Linked DNA regions of Drosophila melanogaster. The protein of the gene in region 1 interacts with the protein of each later gene in a pairwise test. Each region holds a gene or a part of one and is shown in the gene's direction. Other genes may lie near its edges. The genes, in order: CG4712, CG30160 and Tsp42Eb.

Evidence for each region.
Region 2: the proteins of CG4712 (region 1) and CG30160 interact in a two-hybrid assay, tested with the Drosophila melanogaster proteins (one large-scale study listed by BioGRID).
Region 3: the proteins of CG4712 (region 1) and Tsp42Eb interact in a two-hybrid assay, tested with the Drosophila melanogaster proteins (one large-scale study listed by BioGRID).

Annotation. Positions count from the first base shown.
Region 1 is NT_033778.4:13,248,307-13,253,434, reverse strand, and holds CG4712 (uncharacterized protein), read left to right. Parts: upstream 1-1,710; 5' UTR 1,711-1,887; coding exon 1,888-3,426; intron 3,427-3,937; coding exon 3,938-4,034; intron 4,035-4,103; coding exon 4,104-4,492; 3' UTR 4,493-4,541; downstream 4,542-5,128. Other genes in the region: CG4714 (uncharacterized protein), read left to right, coding at 1-937, 1,012-1,108, 1,166-1,539; Mp20 (muscle protein 20), read right to left, coding at 4,605-4,623.
Region 2 is NT_033778.4:7,003,506-7,006,657, forward strand, and holds CG30160 (uncharacterized protein), read left to right. Parts: upstream 1-1,651; 5' UTR 1,652-1,712; coding exon 1,713-1,964; intron 1,965-2,028; coding exon 2,029-2,193; intron 2,194-2,265; coding exon 2,266-2,517; 3' UTR 2,518-2,631; downstream 2,632-3,152. Other genes in the region: Tsp42Ea (tetraspanin 42Ea), read left to right, coding at 1-137, 400-471; Tsp42Ec (tetraspanin 42Ec), read left to right, coding at 3,068-3,127.
Region 3 is NT_033778.4:6,996,888-7,000,393, forward strand, and holds Tsp42Eb (tetraspanin 42Eb), read left to right. Parts: upstream 1-1,960; 5' UTR 1,961-2,042; coding exon 2,043-2,294; intron 2,295-2,358; coding exon 2,359-2,523; intron 2,524-2,595; coding exon 2,596-2,847; 3' UTR 2,848-2,961; downstream 2,962-3,506.

The DNA of each region.
Region 1 (5,128 bases):
GCCCAGTCTGTCGGACATATCGGAGGAGCACGACGAGTCTTCACAGTCATTGGACGCTGGGTCGGTGATAAGCGTCCAGCAAGATCATGGCTTCTTTGCGGATCCAACGTCGAACATGGACTCCGGTTCCAGCTCGTCGTCGGAATCGATTGGAGACGTGGACAAAGAGCAACAGGCTGAGGAGGCGGCTCCAGAAAGTGAGGTCGACTCTTTCGATGTCTCCGACATACCGGAATTCGATGAAATTCCAGTCGTAAAAAGAGTGGAACAAAACCAAGATTCTATCGATGCATTCAGCACATTGTCAAAGGTTGCCTTTGCAGTTCCCGAGGTCCGAGACGATCCAGTCATTTCGCATGCTCTCGAGATCAAGGCGGTAGTCCGTGAACTACTGTACGACCTTTTCGAGGAGACGGCTAGTTTATCGGACATCCACAACAAGGACAATAAAATTCGGGCGAAATTGGACAAGAATAAGCTATTGACCGAGCTTGATAAAGTCATCACTACATATTTGTATGAGAAGTACACCAACGAAATGGTGGGCAATCGACTTGTGGAATATTATAAACGCAATCGCAATGCCCGTGTCTTCGCCACACTCTCGCCGGAAAATGAAAAACGATTCCACTCCCGATACATGCATGCCCTGGCCCTGCTTGACAGTCTGAAGTATCGACTGGATGTGGCCAAGCACAAGCACGCCATCCAGATGAACAGAGTGATCCTGGATCTCCACTCCGCCCAGAGTGTCGCCTCGATCACTGAGGAACGCTTGGAGCACCTGTTCCGGGAACACCTGGTCCGGCCCGAATCGGATAATCTGCGACGTTTAGTTGATCGCGAACTGAGAATGATGACAGCCAAGCGGAACGAGATCAGCGACTCCAGACTGTTTCTCATCACAAGAAAGCACACCTTAGGTCGCATTATGGGGGTAAGTCTGCCGTGGACTGCGAATTCCGCAGCAGTTTTTAACAAATTAACATTATTCTTCTGTGACTTGAGCAGAAAATCAAGGAACTTGACACACTGAGTGAGACCTTGAGTATCGAAGATTTCTTGTCCGTGCAAAATAATGTGTTTGCCCTGCAAAAGAAAATCGAGGGTGAGCACCATTATTGCCTAAAAAAAATACATGGGCTAATGAACAAATTTCCCGCAGAACGCAATACCGATCTGAAGAGGATGCGAACCCAGTTCCTCATGGACGTTCATCTCACGCGACACAATCGAGAAAAGGCGCTGGCTCTGGCGGAAAATTTTGAGCTAAGTAAAATCCGGTTGAAGAATGCCATGAAAAATCAGACAGACCTGCGTAGACGTCTCTACGAAGTGAAATTGGAGCGGAAGAAGATGCGTCAGCAGTCAAGGGATATGACCTTCCACGGCGGCATCCTGGCGATGCCCTCGCTGATGTACGACTACGACAACACTGTGGAGCGATTGAAGGAGAAGCGGGAAACGGTGGCCAAGCTCAGGGAAACCCTAAAGTCACTCCAACGTCGGCTCAGCTATGTAGAGGGAAGAAGTATATAGAGTTGTAAGAATCCACAAATCAATAAAACAGTACAATTTATAATAAAATCGTTTGGCTGCTTTTACTGTGACAATAAGTTGTAAATGGATTGAAAGAGCAATACTTGTACACCACTATAGTGTACCCTTCACAACATCTGTCTCGATGAAAAAACTGTCAAAAAAAGCATAGGGCCAGATACATAACAAATGTACACGAGTACACAACAACTCTATACATAAACACTAAAAATATAATAAAAAACAAAAAAAACAGCAAAAGCACATTAAAACAAATATAAAAAATACAAATACTTAAGATCGTATGCAAAAACGAAATAAGTAGTGAAGTAAATATATACATACACGATGGAAACGGAGAATAATGAAGAACCTCAGATTGATTTGTTGGAGGAAAACGAAGCGGTACGAAGCTTGGCTGATGAAGTTCTCTCGAGATTTTCAGGCGATAGTAAAAAGTCTGTTTCGGTGAATATTTCAATGGTTTCTATGTCATCAAATGAAAACAGTGAAGAAAGACTGAAAATCATTAGAAAGGAGGAAAGAAAATTGGCAATAAAGGACATCATGAATCGACTAAAGGAGCGTGACGCGGAGGAGATGAAAATGAAGAAGTCCGGCGAACAGGAGGGGGACCAAAGGGAAGACGAAATGGCCAGCAAGTCACAAGACAGTATTCAACGGCACATGTCCATTTCACAAGTGGAGGAGCAGGACGATGAAACATTGCTGTGGACCAAGCTGGGTGAGGATATCGACAGTGACAACAGAAGAACCACGGATATTGCTCCCGCAGCAGACACTTTGGACGCAGTTAATGCCGAGGACGAAGACATGCTCGATCTCATCGAAACCCCATCGGAATCTGATTCAGAAGCACCAGTGACCGAGAGGTCCAAGAGCATAGATCCCATGAAAGTGGCCGTTAAATCTTTAATGCTGGTGCCCAGTCTGTCGGATATTTCGCTGCCAAGTGCGCCGCCCACGTCAAGAAAGTCTTCCCATTCTATTAAATCGAACAGATCATTAATTTTTAAAAGTTCCCCAACCGATGGCAATTCAAGCTTCGATACCGAAGAGTCGGAAGAAGAATCCACCATTGGCCCCATTGATCCGCGTACTCCAATGGATCAATTGTACGACTCACTATCGATTTGCGAGTCTTTGGCACCCATAAAAGACGAATTTTCAAGAACAACAGCTTTGGAAAAAGAAAGAAATGATTACATGGGCTTTGAACAGTTGTTTACAGTAACAACGGAACACCTTGAAACGGACGAAATCGATGTGGCAGCCCAACTGAGGACTATAGAGACAAGCCAGGTTATTTCTGAATTTATAAACCATTTGATACATAAGGTAGTCATGCCAGAGCATCGGGGTACTGAGGAATATATTCGGGTGCGACTGGACAAAGAAAAGCTGCTGGTCGCTCTGCAGAATGAGGTGCATGATTACACAAGTGTAAGGGATCATAACAAACAGCTGGAGGAGCGAATGGTAGATTACTTCCGACGCACGAAAAACTTCCGATACTTTGACCGCCTAACGCCGAACGCCGAGTCAACCTACTCCCGTCGCCTTGATCACGCCCTGACCTATCTGTCCTATGGTCAAGAGCGCCTCATCAGGGTAAGGGAGAAATATGGCATTCTAATGACCACTGCGTTTTTGGACCTCGCCAACGCCATGAACATCGTTCTCAGCACGGAGCATCATCTCGAGCAGACGTTAAAACGCATCCTGGTTCGTCCGGACGCCGAGACCGATTTCCTCAAGCGCCTGGTTGCCCGCGAACTCCGACTTATGGCCGACCATCGGAATCAAATTAGCGATGCCCGGCTGTTGCTCATGTCGCAGAAACACACCTTGGCCCGCATCTTAGAAGTAGGTATCCAGGATGTTGTCCAAAAAGTTGTCCACGATGTTGAACGCGTTGTTGAGAGATTTTCCGCCATGTTGTCCGCCATGTTATCCTCCGTATTTTTTGTAATGTCATTCGCCATTTTATATGCTATGTTACATGCTATATTATCCGCCATGTTGTCCGCCATTTTATCAGCCGTGTTGTCCTTCATGTTATTCGCCATGTTATCCGTCATATTACATTATATGTTAATCGCCGTGTTGTCTGCCAACTCATGTTACATGCTATGTTATCCGACATGTTATATGCTATGTTAGCAACCATGTTATCCGCCGGTTATGCTCATTCAAATTGTCACATAATGCTATTAAGTTATTCACAATATTTTACAACACATTGCTTCCCACTATCCAGCCATGTAGTTTTTCATTATATTTACTATCACCAATATTGTTTTCCAATTTTTCATATGTTTTCTAATTTGATTGTTTTACTTGTATCAACATACTTTTCTGAAACATCTCCATTTAGAAAATAAGAGATGTAGAAACGGTTTGCGACGGTGTGAGCTTGAATGACTTTATTTCCGTGCAAAACAAAACGATCGGCCTAGAAAAGAAGATTGAAGGTATAGTCCTATGAACATCTCTGCTTAAAATTTGTTCATTATTATATGCATAATAATCATCTCCATCAGAGCGAAATATTGAATTAAAAAGACAGCGCAGGCTCTACCACACCGAACTGCATATGACTAAGCACAATCGAGAGAAGTCCCACGAGCTTAAGAACAAAATTCACGTTCTTAAAGATAACCTGCTGGAAAAGCACAAGTTGAAAAATAAACTAAAATCCGAGCTGTGTCGCCGAAAACTGGAGCACAAGGCTATTAGGCGCCGGATGAGAGATTTGACATGCCAGGGTGGTATCCTGGCTATGCCCGCATTGATGTATGACTACGATCGAACTGTCGCCTATGTTCGTGAAAAGGAGAAAATGGTCTCGAGTCTCCGGGAAACCCTAAAATCACTTACCAATCAGCTGCAAAGTTTGATGTCACCTCGAAAAAAGAGCTCGATTATTTAATAGGGCTATTACCACTTTTCAACCAAATACATTTTTCCACAAAAATAATATAATATTTGTCGTTTATTAATGCTATAAACAATGGAAAATTCAAGACTTCCTAGTCGTAAGCTTATGCATCAATAATAACCCTGAAACGGTAGAGAAAATCTCTTAATGAACCATTATTAATATATATGTATATATATATATATATCCCCCACATTTTCAGTGTCAAGTTTGTTATTTATTTGCCTGCTTTTATTTATTCCATCCATATATATATGTTGAAGAAAACAACAAAACCAAGGGGAAATACCGTTTGGTTGTTCTCATTAATATTTCTAGCAACCAATTGTTGGAAATTTTCAAAATTCTAAATATACCGATTCGGAAATTGGCACGCTTTATTCTTAATCATCCTTTCTGAGCACTATTTGAGTCTAAAATATTGTACACACGACCTGAGTACACTTCAATTAGCCAAAACGAATGAGGAAAATATTTCATTTGCAGACTGCGTCATTTAAAACTAATAACAAATCCATGCTGAATATATTCTGCGTTCTAAGACATATTTTTTCAATAGATCTAACATACAATTAATACAAAATATTTCCAGATTCTTCCATTCCTGCTCTTTGCTTTCAGCATAAT
Region 2 (3,152 bases), 6.2 Mb from region 1:
CCTCCTGCTGCAGCGACACCAACAACTGCCGCTGGGAGACCGTCTACCGGCGGGGATGCAAGGTCACCTTCGTTGAGTTCTGGGACAGGAACAGCGACATCATCAAGTATGCCGGTCTGGTCATCGCCGCCATCGAAGTAAGTTATTGTCCAGAGTAACGCAATCGAACGAAATCGATCATCGAATCTAGGTGCTTCCCCATGTGAATTTCGAAAATATGATGGATGGGTTCATGTTACCTACCTTCCATTGTGATTTCTTGGGGATAACCAAAAAGTACTAAGTAATGTAAATCATAATTCGTAGCAATGCAGTTTAGTTTGTTATTTTACCATAAGCGTTATGAGATTTACACCTACATGTATATCTTCCAATATACCATACTCTGTTTGCTTTCAGTTTGTGGGATTCGTTTTCGCCTGTTGCTTGGCGAACAGCATTCGGAACTATAGACGCCGTGCGGAATATTAATCGACAAAGGACTAAGGCCTTGCACTAATTTTAATTGAAACCGAAAGTACGAATTATGTTGCCCAATTTTACGAATATTTACCTGATACAGATGGCCATTCAAATTTGCATAATCTCAAGCGTAAGCAGCAAATGCAGCAAATCCAATGACGAATGCGTAACGATCACTTTTGTAAGATCGTTTGTTCAAAGTTACACTGAATGTGCTAATATGTTTAACTGTACAAAATAACTTATACTCCTGGAGATTGCAATAAACGGAGAAATTTATTTACAATTTACGAAAAGAGTTCAGTCTTTGTCTTAATGGGAAAGCTTACATTGTTTGCAATTCGACTTAATCCCTAAAGCACCTATTTTTCTAAATTGCCACGGGAGGATTTCGGCCATTCGCGATAACGTTTTAATCTGCAAAGTAATAAGTATAAATAGAGTTGGCCGAAACCAACAAGTACACTTTGATTACAGATCATTATCAATCATTGGCTCTATTGACATATTTCCGTAGAACTAACCTATCAGAAGACTATATTTAGTTAGTTAGCTTTTTAGGGCTCAGACGAAATCTTATCTCCATTGAGCTATTTTATCTATGAAGGGCACATAGCCGTTTTGTGAATGTCAATGGGAAATTATTCCGCCGTGGAAACCCCAATAGTTGCCAAAATCTTGTTGAAGTTAGGCTGGGAGTGCACTCGCTAAAAGGTTTATTGCTCGATTGATAGTACATAAATCTAGGCGATAAGATCGGGGACTCACGGGGAAACGGACTCCAAGCAACGTAATATGTGAGTCAGCGTGCACCGCGTACTCTTGACTGGTGATAAGGCAAGGTGTGGAGGGTGTGAATGATTCATCTTATGAACGATCTAACGCCCCCAAGATGGAATCGCACGAGGGCTAGATAAAATTCCGCCACCAGCAGTTTGCACCTACCATTCGTTGAATGAATCATTGCGCCAAGGATGTAATTTCCCAGGTTCGGACCACCACAATGATCTGGTATCTCGTGGGTGCAAAGCGATTCACCAAGTACAAGTACATGGGCATCGGAGCTTCCAGCACAAGTACATACGGAATTTTATGGCCGAGATAAGAGCGCAGCCGATAAGATGAGGACTCCGAGTAAGCTTTAATAGCCGCGTTCTGTCCGAGGGCCCATTCAGTTAGACGAACATCGTCACATCGAACGAACGGATTATCCAGCTAGCCAACGAGAAACCCGAACAGAACCCAGCACCATGAACTGTCTATCCGCGATGTTCAAGTACCTGCTGTACTTGCTCAACCTGGTGTTCGTGGCCGGTGGCATCCTGCTCATTGTGGTGGGCTCCATCATGCTCTCCACGATGGGCAACTTTACGGCCTTCGACGGAGGCGTTAACACCCAGACCATCCCGATCTGCATTATCGTCATCGGAAGTGTCACCTTCGTAGTGGCCTTCTTCGGATGCTGCGGCACCATTCGCGAGAACGCCTGCTGCACCACCATCGTAAGCACTCGGAAATCACCCACTGACCGAAATTGGATTCTAAATGACTTGGCATTCCTTTCAGTACGCCATCTGCATGCTGATTCTGTTCGGCCTGCAACTGGCCCTCTCCATCTGGATCTTCGCGGCCAACGACAAGTTCCTGTCCAGCATGGGCAAGGCAGTGGACAAGGCGTGGGATGAGAACAATGCCGCCCAGGGATACCCCATGGATGCCCTCCAGTTGGCCGTAAGTTTATCGAAATTCACCATCAGATGTCATTAGTTTTTTCCGGATATTTACGTATCTATTCCATTGCAGTTCTCTTGCTGTGGCAACACGGGATACCAACAGTATGAAACCGTGCCCAGCTCCTGCTGCGGCTACAAGGATCGCACCAAGGTGTGCGAAGCGGAGATCTACAGCCAGCGACCTGGCTGCCGGCAGGAGTTCGTCGATTTCTGGGCCTCCAATACGGACCTGATTCGATGGAGCAGTCTGATCATCGCCCTCTTCGAGCTGGGCATCTTCATCATGTCGTGCTGCCTGGCCAGCGCGATGAGGAAGCGCTAGAGCCGAAGTCAGATACAATCCTTAGACGTAGCCCAGTTCATAGCATAAATCCAACACACGAATTCCTCACTCACTCACTCACCGTAAATAAACCAGAATAGGTTAAGCCCAATGAAATATTATTGCTTATTCGCTGTCTACCTCTGGCTGCCGTCTATCTAATCAAGACAGGTTGATGTTTTTCCAAAAAGTATGTCCTTATCGGCCTGTTAGCCGAGTGCCGCGTTTCCGAGATCGAATGCCCTCAGTAGTGGTGAATCACCTCCATATGGCAATGGCTATCGATCTCCGCCCGCCGCCCAGTGCCCATTATCTATTTTTCGTTTCGGCCATGATTATGATAACAGGCACTTGCGTATCTTTCCTCCGATAGCGCCCGTGTCTGTTGGCCAATTTAAAAACAGTAGCCCATCTGGAGGAGCAGTCCAATCGAACGACAGTAAACGACGCGAGTGCGCGATAAAATCAGAGACACCGACAACTCCTTTGGATAAAACAATAGTGTTTATTTAATTCTACTAAATACAGGAGCAAACTATATACTTTCAAAATGGGTTGTCTATCGGGAATAGTCAACTTTATTTTATATATTGTCAATATCGTGTTTTTGGTAAGTGCTTGTCGGTTGAGTATCT
Region 3 (3,506 bases), 6.3 Mb from region 1:
CGTGCCATTCATCTTGCAATTCAAAATGTATTCTTTGTGGCAGTACTCGATCTTGCTGTTCGTCCTGATGATTGGCCAACTGGCTTTGGTGATCTACATGTGGGTGCAGAAGGACAAGTACCTGGAGATCATGGGCGACGTGGTCGAGAAGGCCTGGAACCATCGCACCAGTCGTTCCGACTACATGGACGCGATTCAGATCAGCGTAAGTATTTAGGGACTTCCAAGGACATGTGACCCGCCTTCAACTGACTTTCTGCCGCTCCCGCAGATGAAATGCTGCGGACGCAGTGGCTACACCGACTACGCCTACCAGGGCAAGTTCCCTCCCTCCTGCTGCAGCGACACCAACAACTGCCGCTGGGAGACCGTCTACCGGCGGGGATGCAAGGTCACCTTCGTTGAGTTCTGGGACAGGAACAGCGACATCATCAAGTATGCCGGTCTGGTCATCGCCGCCATCGAAGTAAGTTATTGTCCAGAGTAACGCAATCGAACGAAATCGATCATCGAATCTAGGTGCTTCCCCATGTGAATTTCGAAAATATGATGGATGGGTTCATGTTACCTACCTTCCATTGTGATTTCTTGGGGATAACCAAAAAGTACTAAGTAATGTAAATCATAATTCGTAGCAATGCAGTTTAGTTTGTTATTTTACCATAAGCGTTATGAGATTTACACCTACATGTATATTCTTCCAATATACCATACTCTGTTTGCTTTCAGTTTGTGGGATTCGTTTTCGCCTGTTGCTTGGCGAACAGCATTCGGAACTATAGACGCCGTGCGGAATATTAATCGACAAAGGACTAAGGCCTTGCACTAATTTTAATTGAAACCGAAAGTACGAATTATGTTGCCCAATTTTACGAATATTTACCTGATACAGATGGCCATTCAAATTTGCATAATCTCAAGCGTAAGCAGCAAATGCAGCAAATCCAATGACGAATGCGTAACGATCACTTTTGTAAGATCGTTTGTTCAAAGTTACACTGAATGTGCTAATATGTTTAACTGTACAAAATAACTTATACTCCTGGAGATTGCAATAAACGGAGAAATTTATTTACAATTTACGAAAAGAGTTCAGTCTTTGTCTTAATGGGAAAGCTTACATTGTTTGCAATTCGACTTAATCCCTAAAGCACCTATTTTTCTAAATTGCCACGGGAGGATTTCGGCCATTCGCGATAACGTTTTAATCTGCAAAGTAATAAGTATAAATAGAGTTGGCCGAAACCAACAAGTACACTTTGATTACAGATCATTATCAATCATTGGCTCTATTGACATATTTCCGTAGAACTAACCTATCAGAAGACTATATTTAGTTAGTTAGCTTTTTAGGGCTCAGACGAAATCTTATCTCCATTGAGCTATTTTATCTATGAAGGGCACATAGCCGTTTTGTGAATGTCAATGGGAAATTATTCCGCCGTGGAAACCCCAATAGTTGCCAAAATCTTGTTGAAGTTAGGCTGGGAGTGCACTCGCTAAAAGGTTTATTGCTCGATTGATAGTACATAAATCTAGGCGATAAGATCGGGGACTCACGGGGAAACGGACTCCAAGCAACGTAATATGTGAGTCAGCGTGCACCGCGTACTCTTGACTGGTGATAAGGCAAGGTGTGGAGGGTGTGAATGATTCATCTTATGAACGATCTAACGCCCCCAAGATGGAATCGCACGAGGGCTAGATAAAATTCCGCCACCAGCAGTTTGCACCTACCATTCGTTGAATGAATCATTGCGCCAAGGATGTAATTTCCCAGGTTCGGACCACCACAATGATCTGGTATCTCGTGGGTGCAAAGCGATTCACCAAGTACAAGTACATGGGCATCGGAGCTTCCAGCACAAGTACATACGGAATTTTATGGCCGAGATAAGAGCGCAGCCGATAAGATGAGGACTCCGAGTAAGCTTTAATAGCCGCGTTCTGTCCGAGGGCCCATTCAGTTAGACGAACATCGTCACATCGAACGAACGGATTATCCAGCTAGCCAACGAGAAACCCGAACAGAACCCAGCACCATGAACTGTCTATCCGCGATGTTCAAGTACCTGCTGTACTTGCTCAACCTGGTGTTCGTGGCCGGTGGCATCCTGCTCATTGTGGTGGGCTCCATCATGCTCTCCACGATGGGCAACTTTACGGCCTTCGACGGAGGCGTTAACACCCAGACCATCCCGATCTGCATTATCGTCATCGGAAGTGTCACCTTCGTAGTGGCCTTCTTCGGATGCTGCGGCACCATTCGCGAGAACGCCTGCTGCACCACCATCGTAAGCACTCGGAAATCACCCACTGACCGAAATTGGATTCTAAATGACTTGGCATTCCTTTCAGTACGCCATCTGCATGCTGATTCTGTTCGGCCTGCAACTGGCCCTCTCCATCTGGATCTTCGCGGCCAACGACAAGTTCCTGTCCAGCATGGGCAAGGCAGTGGACAAGGCGTGGGATGAGAACAATGCCGCCCAGGGATACCCCATGGATGCCCTCCAGTTGGCCGTAAGTTTATCGAAATTCACCATCAGATGTCATTAGTTTTTTCCGGATATTTACGTATCTATTCCATTGCAGTTCTCTTGCTGTGGCAACACGGGATACCAACAGTATGAAACCGTGCCCAGCTCCTGCTGCGGCTACAAGGATCGCACCAAGGTGTGCGAAGCGGAGATCTACAGCCAGCGACCTGGCTGCCGGCAGGAGTTCGTCGATTTCTGGGCCTCCAATACGGACCTGATTCGATGGAGCAGTCTGATCATCGCCCTCTTCGAGCTGGGCATCTTCATCATGTCGTGCTGCCTGGCCAGCGCGATGAGGAAGCGCTAGAGCCGAAGTCAGATACAATCCTTAGACGTAGCCCAGTTCATAGCATAAATCCAACACACGAATTCCTCACTCACTCACTCACCGTAAATAAACCAGAATAGGTTAAGCCCAATGAAATATTATTGCTTATTCGCTGTCTACCTCTGGCTGCCGTCTATCTAATCAAGACAGGTTGATGTTTTTCCAAAAAGTATGTCCTTATCGGCCTGTTAGCCGAGTGCCGCGTTTCCGAGATCGAATGCCCTCAGTAGTGGTGAATCACCTCCATATGGCAATGGCTATCGATCTCCGCCCGCCGCCCAGTGCCCATTATCTATTTTTCGTTTCGGCCATGATTATGATAACAGGCACTTGCGTATCTTTCCTCCGATAGCGCCCGTGTCTGTTGGCCAATTTAAAAACAGTAGCCCATCTGGAGGAGCAGTCCAATCGAACGACAGTAAACGACGCGAGTGCGCGATAAAATCAGAGACACCGACAACTCCTTTGGATAAAACAATAGTGTTTATTTAATTCTACTAAATACAGGAGCAAACTATATACTTTCAAAATGGGTTGTCTATCGGGAATAGTCAACTTTATTTTATATATTGTCAATATCGTGTTTTTGGTAAGTGCTTGTCGGTTGAGTATCTAAGTAAAAGGAATTAATAATGTAA